Linked DNA regions of Drosophila melanogaster. The protein of the gene in region 2 interacts with the protein of the main gene of each other region in a pairwise test. Each region holds a gene or a part of one and is shown on either strand. Other genes may lie near its edges.

Region 1 (5,384 bases), on a different chromosome or scaffold from region 2:
AGCTAGAAGCTGAAAGAAAACCAAAGCCACATCCTACGTTGAATAATTTACCTGTATAATATTTATGTCATTTCGTTAAACGCAAAATGTTAACATACTTTTAAAGCGCGTGTAAAACGGATAGTTAATAAAATAACGACAACAATATTTAAAAGAACATATACACTCGATGAAAATGAATATTAAAGATCGAAAAAAAGAAAAAGGAATCTGTTATTAGTAGGCCGTGGGTTCAATAAGATCTTTTCGAGTATGATAGGTGTATTTCGTTTTGTGCCTCCAAAATTTCAGATATTATTCAGCTACACACAGACAGGCCTCCCAAATTTGTAAGCTCTGTAAATTCAAAACCAGAACTGCTGCAGGCCAGTGGCGAAGTTAATTTGTCAGAGGAAAACTCAAGCCATCTCCATGGATAAAAACCACAAGTCGGGTGAGTCAAGCCGAGTGTGGCATCCTTAAGTTGTTAAAACTATGTGTGTTCTTTGCTCCAGAAGAGGGGTTTGGACGTTCAATGTCTAGTAGCAGTCGCCGCGTCATGTGGAAGCTCAACGAGGAGGAGGAGACATTCGACTCCTTGGTCAATTATCGGCGGCTTCCTTCGCGCAGCCTAAACCGAAGTCAGGTGACCGATGTGCCCACCAAGGGACACACTACCTCCGAAAATTGCCAGCTGCCAGCGCAAGAGTTGGAAACAAAGAGCGCCACCAACGAACAAGGTGCATTGGGCATAATGTCGGTTAGCCTACCGCAAACAACCAGGAATTCCCATCAATCGTCGGCCACGTCACTGCCGGAGGCCAAGGGATGCACTGCCACCGAAAACTGCCAGTTGCTAGCGCAAGAGGCGGAAACAAAGAACGCCAGCAACGAACAAGGTGGATTGGGCAAAATGTCGGTTAGCCTGCCGCAACAAAACTGGAACGCCAATCAATCGTCGGCCACGTCACTGCCGGAGGCCAAGGAGATCAGCTCCAAAGAGCAGGCGATCATCTACTGGCGGCGTCTTTTCGATGGTATCCACAAGCGCCAGCGTGGCGAAAGAAAAGTTGCAGCAATGCAGCCCGAAAATACCACAGATGTCGTGCTGACGTCCAAGCCAAACCTGGCATTGCGCTACAAGCCCTCCCATGAGTCGCTTAAAAACAAGCGGATCAAGGACCTGGCTCCTGAACGATGCCCGAGCACGTCCCGGGGATCAACGTCCTGCAAACTGGTATCGGACCTCAAGATGGAGACGTTCAGCCTGCCGCCGCAGCAGACGTGTGTGGTGCGCGAGGTGGAGCCTCGGTTTGGCCAGCGCCGACGCATGTTGTTGGCCAACGACACGGATTCGTGCTACTCCGGCGAGCTGGAGGTCCCCAAAAACAGTCCCGTCCAGGAGCCAGGACCCTATCCGCGCAGCGAACTGATCAGTGTCCATGTCTCGGCGCCCACCAGCTCCTCTTTTACGGGAGCAACACGGCGGAGTCTGTCTCCAACTAGGCAGCGCACTGCGACGAGCAAGGTGGCCGCCGGGACGAAGGGCGGACCATCACCAGCAGTTGGGGGCAACAAGTGCTCGAGCGTCAGCAGCGGGAGTGCAGGTACCAGCCAGCTGCCTAATTTCCGCCAGCGGCAGCAAGAGCTCCATCGCTATCGCGTTATGATCGAGCAACGGCGCCTCGATCTACTCGAGCTCAAGATAGCCCGCGAACGCGAGGAGGCGCTGCACAGCGAGGTTCTGTTTCACAAGGAACTGCAGATCAAGGAGAACATGATCAAGGTGTACGAGGACAACGACTGCTCCAACGCCTAGGACTTCCTTTATTCCTAACTCTTTCGACCCCAAATTCAGAAAGGTATTTTACACTTGGCAATGGCCCTGGCCTCAGTAGTTCAAAACACTCAGTCAAATAAAACCGAAATTCATTTAGACATCCCAATCTAGGTTTTTTATTAACTACCTGAGAAATAAGTATCAAAACTGCAATATATGAAATTCAACTTAGCGGGTAATTTCAAATCTAATGTGCCCGTTCGTTTACAGCACTGGCAGTGTGTGCGCATCGCTGTGAATGGACATTAGCCCCAAACAACTTTTTATTTCATTTGTTTAAACCGAAAACGTGAAATGTTAATAAATGTGTGCCGAGTTTGCGGCAGGAGCAGGCTGTGCCCCAAAGCCGTGGAGCTCTTCAAACCTGGCAGACAGGATATTCTTCGCCGCATCCAACTAATAACCGGAATTCTCGTGAGTTAAGGAATCAAAATGGATCGCGCAATTTACATATGTGCGAGCGCTTCCTTTTTTGTATTCTGCAGCTTCAGCAGATTCCCAATGCTCCGGATATGGTGTGCTTTTGCTGCCAGACAGATCTGCAATCGGCCATGATTTTCCGGAGGCAGTGCATCCTGCAGCAGAAGAAATGGGTGCCATTGCTACAAAGTGATAAAGTGGGAGCCAGCGAGGAAAAGAAGGTGGAACCCAATGATCCCTCAACCAAGAAGAAAACGACCAAGCGGCGAAGGGGGCGACCCAGGATGCCACTGGAAATTGTAGATATAGTCGTAACGAACGAGAGTAAGGCTTCAGCAGGTGAATCAGTTGGTGGTGATGAATTTGATCAGCCGGTGGAGATCTCCAATGAACCGGATGCCACCGATAGCGATGTTAATCTGGAGGAAATAGATCTTCCGGATGAGGATGGCTTGGAGTCGGATCACGATTTACCCAATGTTCAAATCCACAAGTGCGATACTTGTGGAATTATCAAAAATAATAAATCATCTCTGGTCAGGCATCAGTTTGAACATAATGGAATAAGACCATATCCCTGCAAGTAAGTAAGAATCGCGACGAAAATATACATTTACTGATACTTAAATAGGTCCGTCGTCTTTATCTTTATCTCTTCGTATCTGGTCCATTATCACGATTTGATTAGCATACATTGTGCCTACATACATACATATGTATGTAAATTCTTTTTCTTTGTACAGTATCTGCAATATGTATTTTTCAGGGAGTGCCCAAAGACCTTTCTGGTAGCGAGTGAGCTGAAGGCACACAATCTCACCCATCACACCTTGGAGCCCCCGTTCGCCTGTCGCTACTGCGATCGTCGCTACTTCTCCGTGGTGGGCAGGAAGAAGCACGAGCGGGTCCACACCAACGAGCGACCATTTGTGTGCGATCAGTGCGGCAAGGCCTTCACCAGGACCTGCATTCTGAAGGCCCACATGGCGGTCCACCAAGTTGTAAGGAAGTATAGGTACTTGATGAAATTAAAAAAAAACATGTCGAGATACATTCTGTTATAATCTTTCATTCCCGTTTTAGTTGCGATGTCTGCGATCGTTCGTTCAGCCTGAAGAAACATCTCGCTACGCACTTCATCTCCAATACCCACAAGCGGAATGCTGAAGCCGTCACCTCGTCGTCGGAGTACATGTCCATGCTCAGTTTTGAATCGGATGAAACCTGGTCCCAAGGCACTCCACTGACCACTTCCATTGACGAGGATCTGGTGCAGTCGCAATTCGACCTTTTGTGTCAGGAAGTTTAATACATCTCAAGATGCCATATGTTTTATCAATATACCAAAAAAAAAAAAAAAATTTAGGTAAGAGCTAACCCACAAAGACTTAATAACAGCTGAAACCACAAAAGACAATATCAAATATGGGTCTAAAAATATTGGTGACATTTTTGTAATTCCTTAAAACTCAGCAACAAAGAGACAACTTGGGAACAAATTTAGCTTTTTTTAGCACGTAGTTTTTAAAAAACACTTTACAGTGGCCATGTTATTGCAAATTTTAGTTTTTGCTATTTTTTTTTGCGTAATTTACATCTGCATTGCAATTGCTTCCTTGAATATAACAAAAGTGCCTATATAGTCTTATCTTATACATACATACTTTATTGGGCTAGTTTTAAAATAAAATATATTCAGACATGAGGTACAAAAATGAACATTGAATTTAGAATCAAATCTTTTTCGAAATACATTTTACGAAACATTTTACGTGGATTATTTCGATTTACCGAAACAGAAATATGAAGCTATATGTTTTGTTTTCAAAAATTGATCCTGCGCATTATTAGCATGCAGGTCGTACTTATTTCAAGCACCCATGAAATGGTTCAGCTTAACGATTTGACCAATATTATTTACACCTATTATTAAGTTTTAATATTATAAGCAGTATCTGTTTTATCAGACTGCTCCAGTTGTTAACAGATCAATAGCTATTTAAATAAAGATTTTGACTTTCAAAAATCCCCGCCTTGAATGAATAATTTATCTGGTTTGCCTCAAAATGTAATCACCATACAATTGCCTTTCCATCAGTCGAGTTTAGTGATCGAGATGCTGAACATCGTGTGTAGAGTCTGCGGAAGGCAGAAAATCTGTGAGAAGAGCCTGAATCTCTTCGATTTGGTCAACCGAAAATATCTAAAGCACTTGCACATGATAAGCGGACTAAGAGTGAGTTAAAAGACGTTTTAAAATTGAGATAAATAATATCAGCACCAGTTGGTGGATTTGGACGATGTTCCTGGTTTCATGTGCCTTTGCTGTCAGGCGGAACTCAGATCGGCATTGGCATTCCGGAAGCTTTGCATTAAGACCCAAACTAAATGGCTAACCATCGAGGACGACTCTTCGTCGGGTGATGAAGATACCAATGACAATTCGGAACTGGAATCGGAAAAATGCGCATTCAGCGATTTTGGGAAAAAGAAAGAAGGCGAGTTGGTTGAAGAAACTTTTCAGGTACTGATTGAAGAGGAGCCCATGGACAAAACTCTGAATAGAGATGCGAAAGCGCAGCTGAGGGAAGATGGAATAGATGAGAAGTGTGTACCTTCACAAAAGATTATCAAAGTATCAACCAAACTGGATGATCAGATTTACATATGCGAGCTGTGCGGGACTCATGCCACATCGAAACCCACTTTCCAGCGCCACATGAGAAAACACAGAGGCGAACGACCATTTGGCTGCAAGTAAACCTCGCTCACAGATTACAACTGTAGGTTCGGTATGCTGATTCCATATTCTCTTTTTAGGGATTGTGATGCCAGGTTTCTCTCTGCTGGCGAACTACGTGCCCACCACCGGGTACATACTGGGGAGCAACCGTTTGCCTGTCGCTTCTGCGAAAAGCGGTATGTCAGCTACATGGGCCGGCTGATCCACGAGCGGACTCACACCAACGATCGACCCTATGTGTGCGAAGAGTGTGGCAAGAAGTTCACCACTGCCTACGTCCTAAAGAACCACATGGTCATCCACACGGGCGAGAGGAATTTCCGATGCGATATTTGCGATCGCTCCTTCCAGAGAAAGGCGCACCTGGTAACGCACACCAGATCCATGATGCACCTCCAAAAT
Region 2 (4,302 bases):
TTTGCTTAAACAGATTTATTTACGACTTGCTTGCTTACTTGCTATGATTTTCTGCGCACTTTGCTAAAATTAGTCATTTGGCATAGACCTCGCATCACCCGATGTAGCCGTGATCGTCTAGTGGTTAGGACCCCACGTTGTGGCCGTGGTAACCCAGGTTCGAATCCTGGTCACGGCAATGTTGAAACAAACATTGTCACGGAGTTGGGTATTTTTTTACACTCTAATTATTTTGATGAAAATGAAAATAATTATTAAACAAATTGAAATGATATATAAATAAATGATAAAACATGTTTTTGCTAATCTTATTATTTGATTTTCTATTTGATTTGGGGTAGTGTTTACTAATTACATCTGCAATTTTTTTTTATTAGGTGACGTGGTGGGATCTTGGAATTGCTGGGCGCAATCCAATGTAGCCGTGATCGTCTAGTGGTTAGGACCCCACGTTGTGGGTTACCACACCCAGGTTCGAATCCTGGTCACGGCAATGTTCAAATAAACATTGTCACGGAGTTGGGTTATTTTTTATTTTTAAGCTTGGAATTGGCTATTTTGTACAAAATGTTGGTTATCGAAAACTCGTTGAGTTTTAAGTCCACAAGCACCAATGAACGAAATACTTCAAAATAATTAAAATTTGAAAATATACATTTTTCTGGCAAAGTGAATATGGATGTCACGAAAACATCAAGCGCTGAGGAAACCGAAAACACGGAAAATACTAGTCATGCTAAAAACATTAACGAAAACGTATCAAAATTTTATGAAACTATTGGAAATATTTCCCGAAATATGCGCAAGGACGATTGGACATATCTACAACGCCATCCAGAGATCCGAGCCATAATTCGGGTCATTACAGCCGAGGCGGTTAAGGCAAAGCCATCGAATATCTACCAATTTACAGCCAATTTATTTGGAAGCGAAAGAGACGAGGAGATGGTAGAAAAGGCAATAATTTTTGTTTGCATATTTACATAAATGAAAAAAAAAACGCTTAAAAGAATTGTAATTTTCTAGATAAACAAGCAACTTAAGTGGTTGGAAGAGCAGTTGCGAGGGGGTACGTGGAATCCTGACGAAGGATGTGCCCCGTTTCCAGAATCCAGCGAGACTTCTTCGGAAACTAAATGCCAAACTAATTTTAATACCACTGCGAGTTTCAACATACCCGAAAAGCAAGTTTGCCCTGAAAATTATAAGCCAGATTGCAAGAAATGTTAAAAATGTGAACTTAATAAATTCAAAAAAAAAAAATTCAGATTGCAAGAAATGTTAAAAATGTGAACTTAATAAATTCAAAAAAAAAAAAAATCAGATTGCAAGAAATGTTAAAAATGTGAACTTAATAAATTCAAAAAACTTTTTAAAAGGAATAAAAAATATTTGTAATTAAATTATACATATTTAAATTACTTTTTATAACTTTGCCACATTAGGCAACACTGCATTTCACAGTCTGCACTGCCACCTATTTAGCGAGCAGTCTGGCAGCCCAAGCCAGAAAGTAAGATATACAGTACGGCGACTTATTATTTGAGCGGAAAAGCGGAAAAACTATTCAGAGTGTTGTGTAACTTTTTATATTAGTGAAAATATCAGTTGGTAAATTCAAGTTATTTGCTCCCAAACAGCCAAATAAATGGTAATACGCGAGGAGTGTCCAAAGAACGGACAAAAAGCGAGGTCGCGACTTCGAGGAGGAGGAGTAGCCATTTTTCGTGGTGAGTAAAAAATATATATGTGGGGATCTGACCACCACCTTCACCTCCTCAGTGTCCTCTATTTTGTTTTGCTACGCCCATTCGTTGTCAAAGACAATAACAAAACAGCTTTGTACGAAGATTAGTTAATTTCGATATGTTTATTTTGGTTTAAAATACGATTATAGTGTTCTTAAAATGCGCTTGGCATGACTGATTTCTGATTGCTTTGAAACCACAACAATAACAACAGTACCGGCCGGCAAACGAAAGGGAAAGCAAAAGCAAAAGGAAACCGAAAACGTCATTCCTGCGTTGACTTTGAAACCCTGGAGTTGTATTAGTCGCCGGAAAAATTTTATTCTTTTAGCCGAATTTTCGCGAAGATTGTTAGTGAAAATGTTGCCCCACGATAGGAAAATACTTAGGTGATAGTCGCCAGCTGGAACAACACGAATCTAGTCGCAACAACATGATTTAAATCAATTTTTTGCCATTTATTTTCATTCCAGGCAACATACACGCCAGAACCAGAATACGAATCGCCGGCGCCCCAGATTCACCAACAATAGCTTCCATACCAAAATGGGCAGCAACTCCAAGGCAGACCCCATCTCGCTGACCTTCCACGACTCCTGCCTGCGGATGTCCGACGTCCAGTTGCTCCACGGCCCGCACTGGCTGAACGACCAGATCCTGAGCTTCTACTACGAATACCTGGCCCACATGAAGTACAAGACCAATGCGGATCTGCACTTCATTGCGCCGGAGATTACGCAGTGTATGAAGTACATGGGCGACCAGGAGCTGAAGCAGCTTCTCGACCAGAGCAACACCACTGGCAAGCCCTTTATCTTCTTCGCGCTGAACGACAACGAAACCACCGATGCTGGTGGCAGCCACTGGTCACTGTTGGTCTTCTCGCGTCCGGAGAAGACCTTCTATCACTTCGATTCGTATGGGAACAACAACACGGGCAACTCCCTGGAGCTGATGAACAAGATCAAGGACCTGCTTGGCGTCCGAATGGCCAAATTCCGGCCCATGCGCTGCCTACAGCAGGCGAACGGCTACGACTGTGGCATCCATGTTATCTGCATGACCGACCACATTGCCGATTACCTAAACAGATACGAGGTGATCGACGGACTGCCGTCGCTGCACATCGACACCGTGAAGGCGAAGCGCACCGAGCTACTGAAACTCATCCTGTCGCTGGGCGGCAAGGGCTAGAGGCTAGCGAGGATTGCCCTGCCGAACCGCCCACAGCCGAGTAGTTTTTAAGTGACCAAATTACGAATGTAACTCGTTGCCGAAGAATGAGAGGAGCATCGGAATTACATATGTGAATACGATATCCATGATATCGCTAGTTGTAGTGGGTTTAGTTTTCCTTGCCGAATGAAAATGTTTAAAAAACAAAAGCAAACTAAAAGCAATTGAGGCGGTGAGTCGGCATATTTTTAAGGTTGGTCTTTCAAAATAAAGATTTGTTTAGCCACAAAACGCGTTGGCTTCGAATTCAGAATTCTGACTTCTCTGCTTGTTTGGTCAATGGGCGCCTGTCGCCAATTAATGAAAACAAAGATATCAGTTGGTTGCAATTATTTATTATAAATGCAAAACGGGAACGGATCCGCGCGGATCTATGATTAGATTACATTTAAAAACACATACAAAATAGATAAATCCACATCGAAAATTGATATTACAATGAGGCACTGGAGTACACAAGGAATACCTTTCATCGCCAGGCGAATGCTCGGGTGGGTAGGGGTAGTTAGTAATGGGTGGGGGGAGACCAGGACGTTAACCTGACCACTACTATCTAAAAGCTAGCTAAGCTGCATACTTGCACGTTTGAGACTGCTCCTAGAGCCGAACTTCGGGCTTGGCCCAACCGCCAAAGGCTCGCTCCAATTCCTCGGCAACGGCCAAACAAAGTCGATCCTGATTGAAGTTGGCGATGATTTGGACACCCAGTGGCAGACCCTCGCTGCCCAGCTTGCCCAGCGGCACAGCGGTGGCCGGGAAGCCCAGCACATTGACAATACCAGTGTAGGCAAAGTTAATGGGTCGCGTAATGGGCTCATTGTGGTATGGAGCCACCGTGGGATGCGTGGGATAGATCAGCACACCATTATCGCCCAGCAGGCTTTGCAACTCCTCCCTCAGCTCATTTCGTTTGCGCACCAGATGATCGTACTTGGGAGATCCGTGCTTGCACTGTGCACTATCCATGATAGCTGTCGACAGGCCAATGAATGTGTGCTTGGAAGCGCCGAAGAACCACTTGAAGAGCTCCAGGTACGTGTTGATGTCATGATTCAGGTTGCCTAGCTGGTAGGCGAATCCATGGCCACTGTCGTCGCGCATGTTGGCAAACCAAATGGCCGCCGACTGCCGGAAGTGGGGCAGCTGGATGCGCTCCACTTTCTGATTGCCGAACTTCTCTCTCAAGTGCTGTGCCACGCGGTTCATGGCCTGCAGCAAGAAAGATTTCAGATTAGAGGATTTAATTAAGAAAGAAGGTCATTTATCTTACCTCTCTTAAGTCTGGATCAACGGCGGAAACCAAGCGGCCGCCGCCATC

The links.
Region 1: the proteins of Den1 (region 2) and nom interact in a two-hybrid assay, tested with the Drosophila melanogaster proteins (2 studies listed by BioGRID).

The regions. Positions count from the first base shown.
Region 1 is NT_033777.3:8,721,129-8,726,512, forward strand, and holds nom (numerous disordered muscles), read left to right. Parts: upstream 1-2,045; 5' UTR 2,046-2,113; coding exon 2,114-2,233; intron 2,234-2,304; coding exon 2,305-2,822; intron 2,823-3,005; coding exon 3,006-3,254; intron 3,255-3,322; coding exon 3,323-3,548; 3' UTR 3,549-4,229; downstream 4,230-5,384. Other genes in the region: CG8136 (uncharacterized protein), read left to right, coding at 412-433, 495-1,798; ouib (ouija board), read left to right, coding at 4,356-4,475, 4,524-4,996, 5,060-5,384.
Region 2 is NT_033778.4:12,336,312-12,340,613, forward strand, and holds Den1 (deneddylase 1), read left to right. Parts: upstream 1-1,988; 5' UTR 1,989-2,108; coding exon 2,109-2,137; intron 2,138-2,221; coding exon 2,222-2,942; 3' UTR 2,943-3,233; downstream 3,234-4,302. Other genes in the region: CG34021 (uncharacterized protein), read left to right, coding at 676-957, 1,027-1,230; CG8839 (uncharacterized protein), read right to left, coding at 3,582-4,193, 4,255-4,302.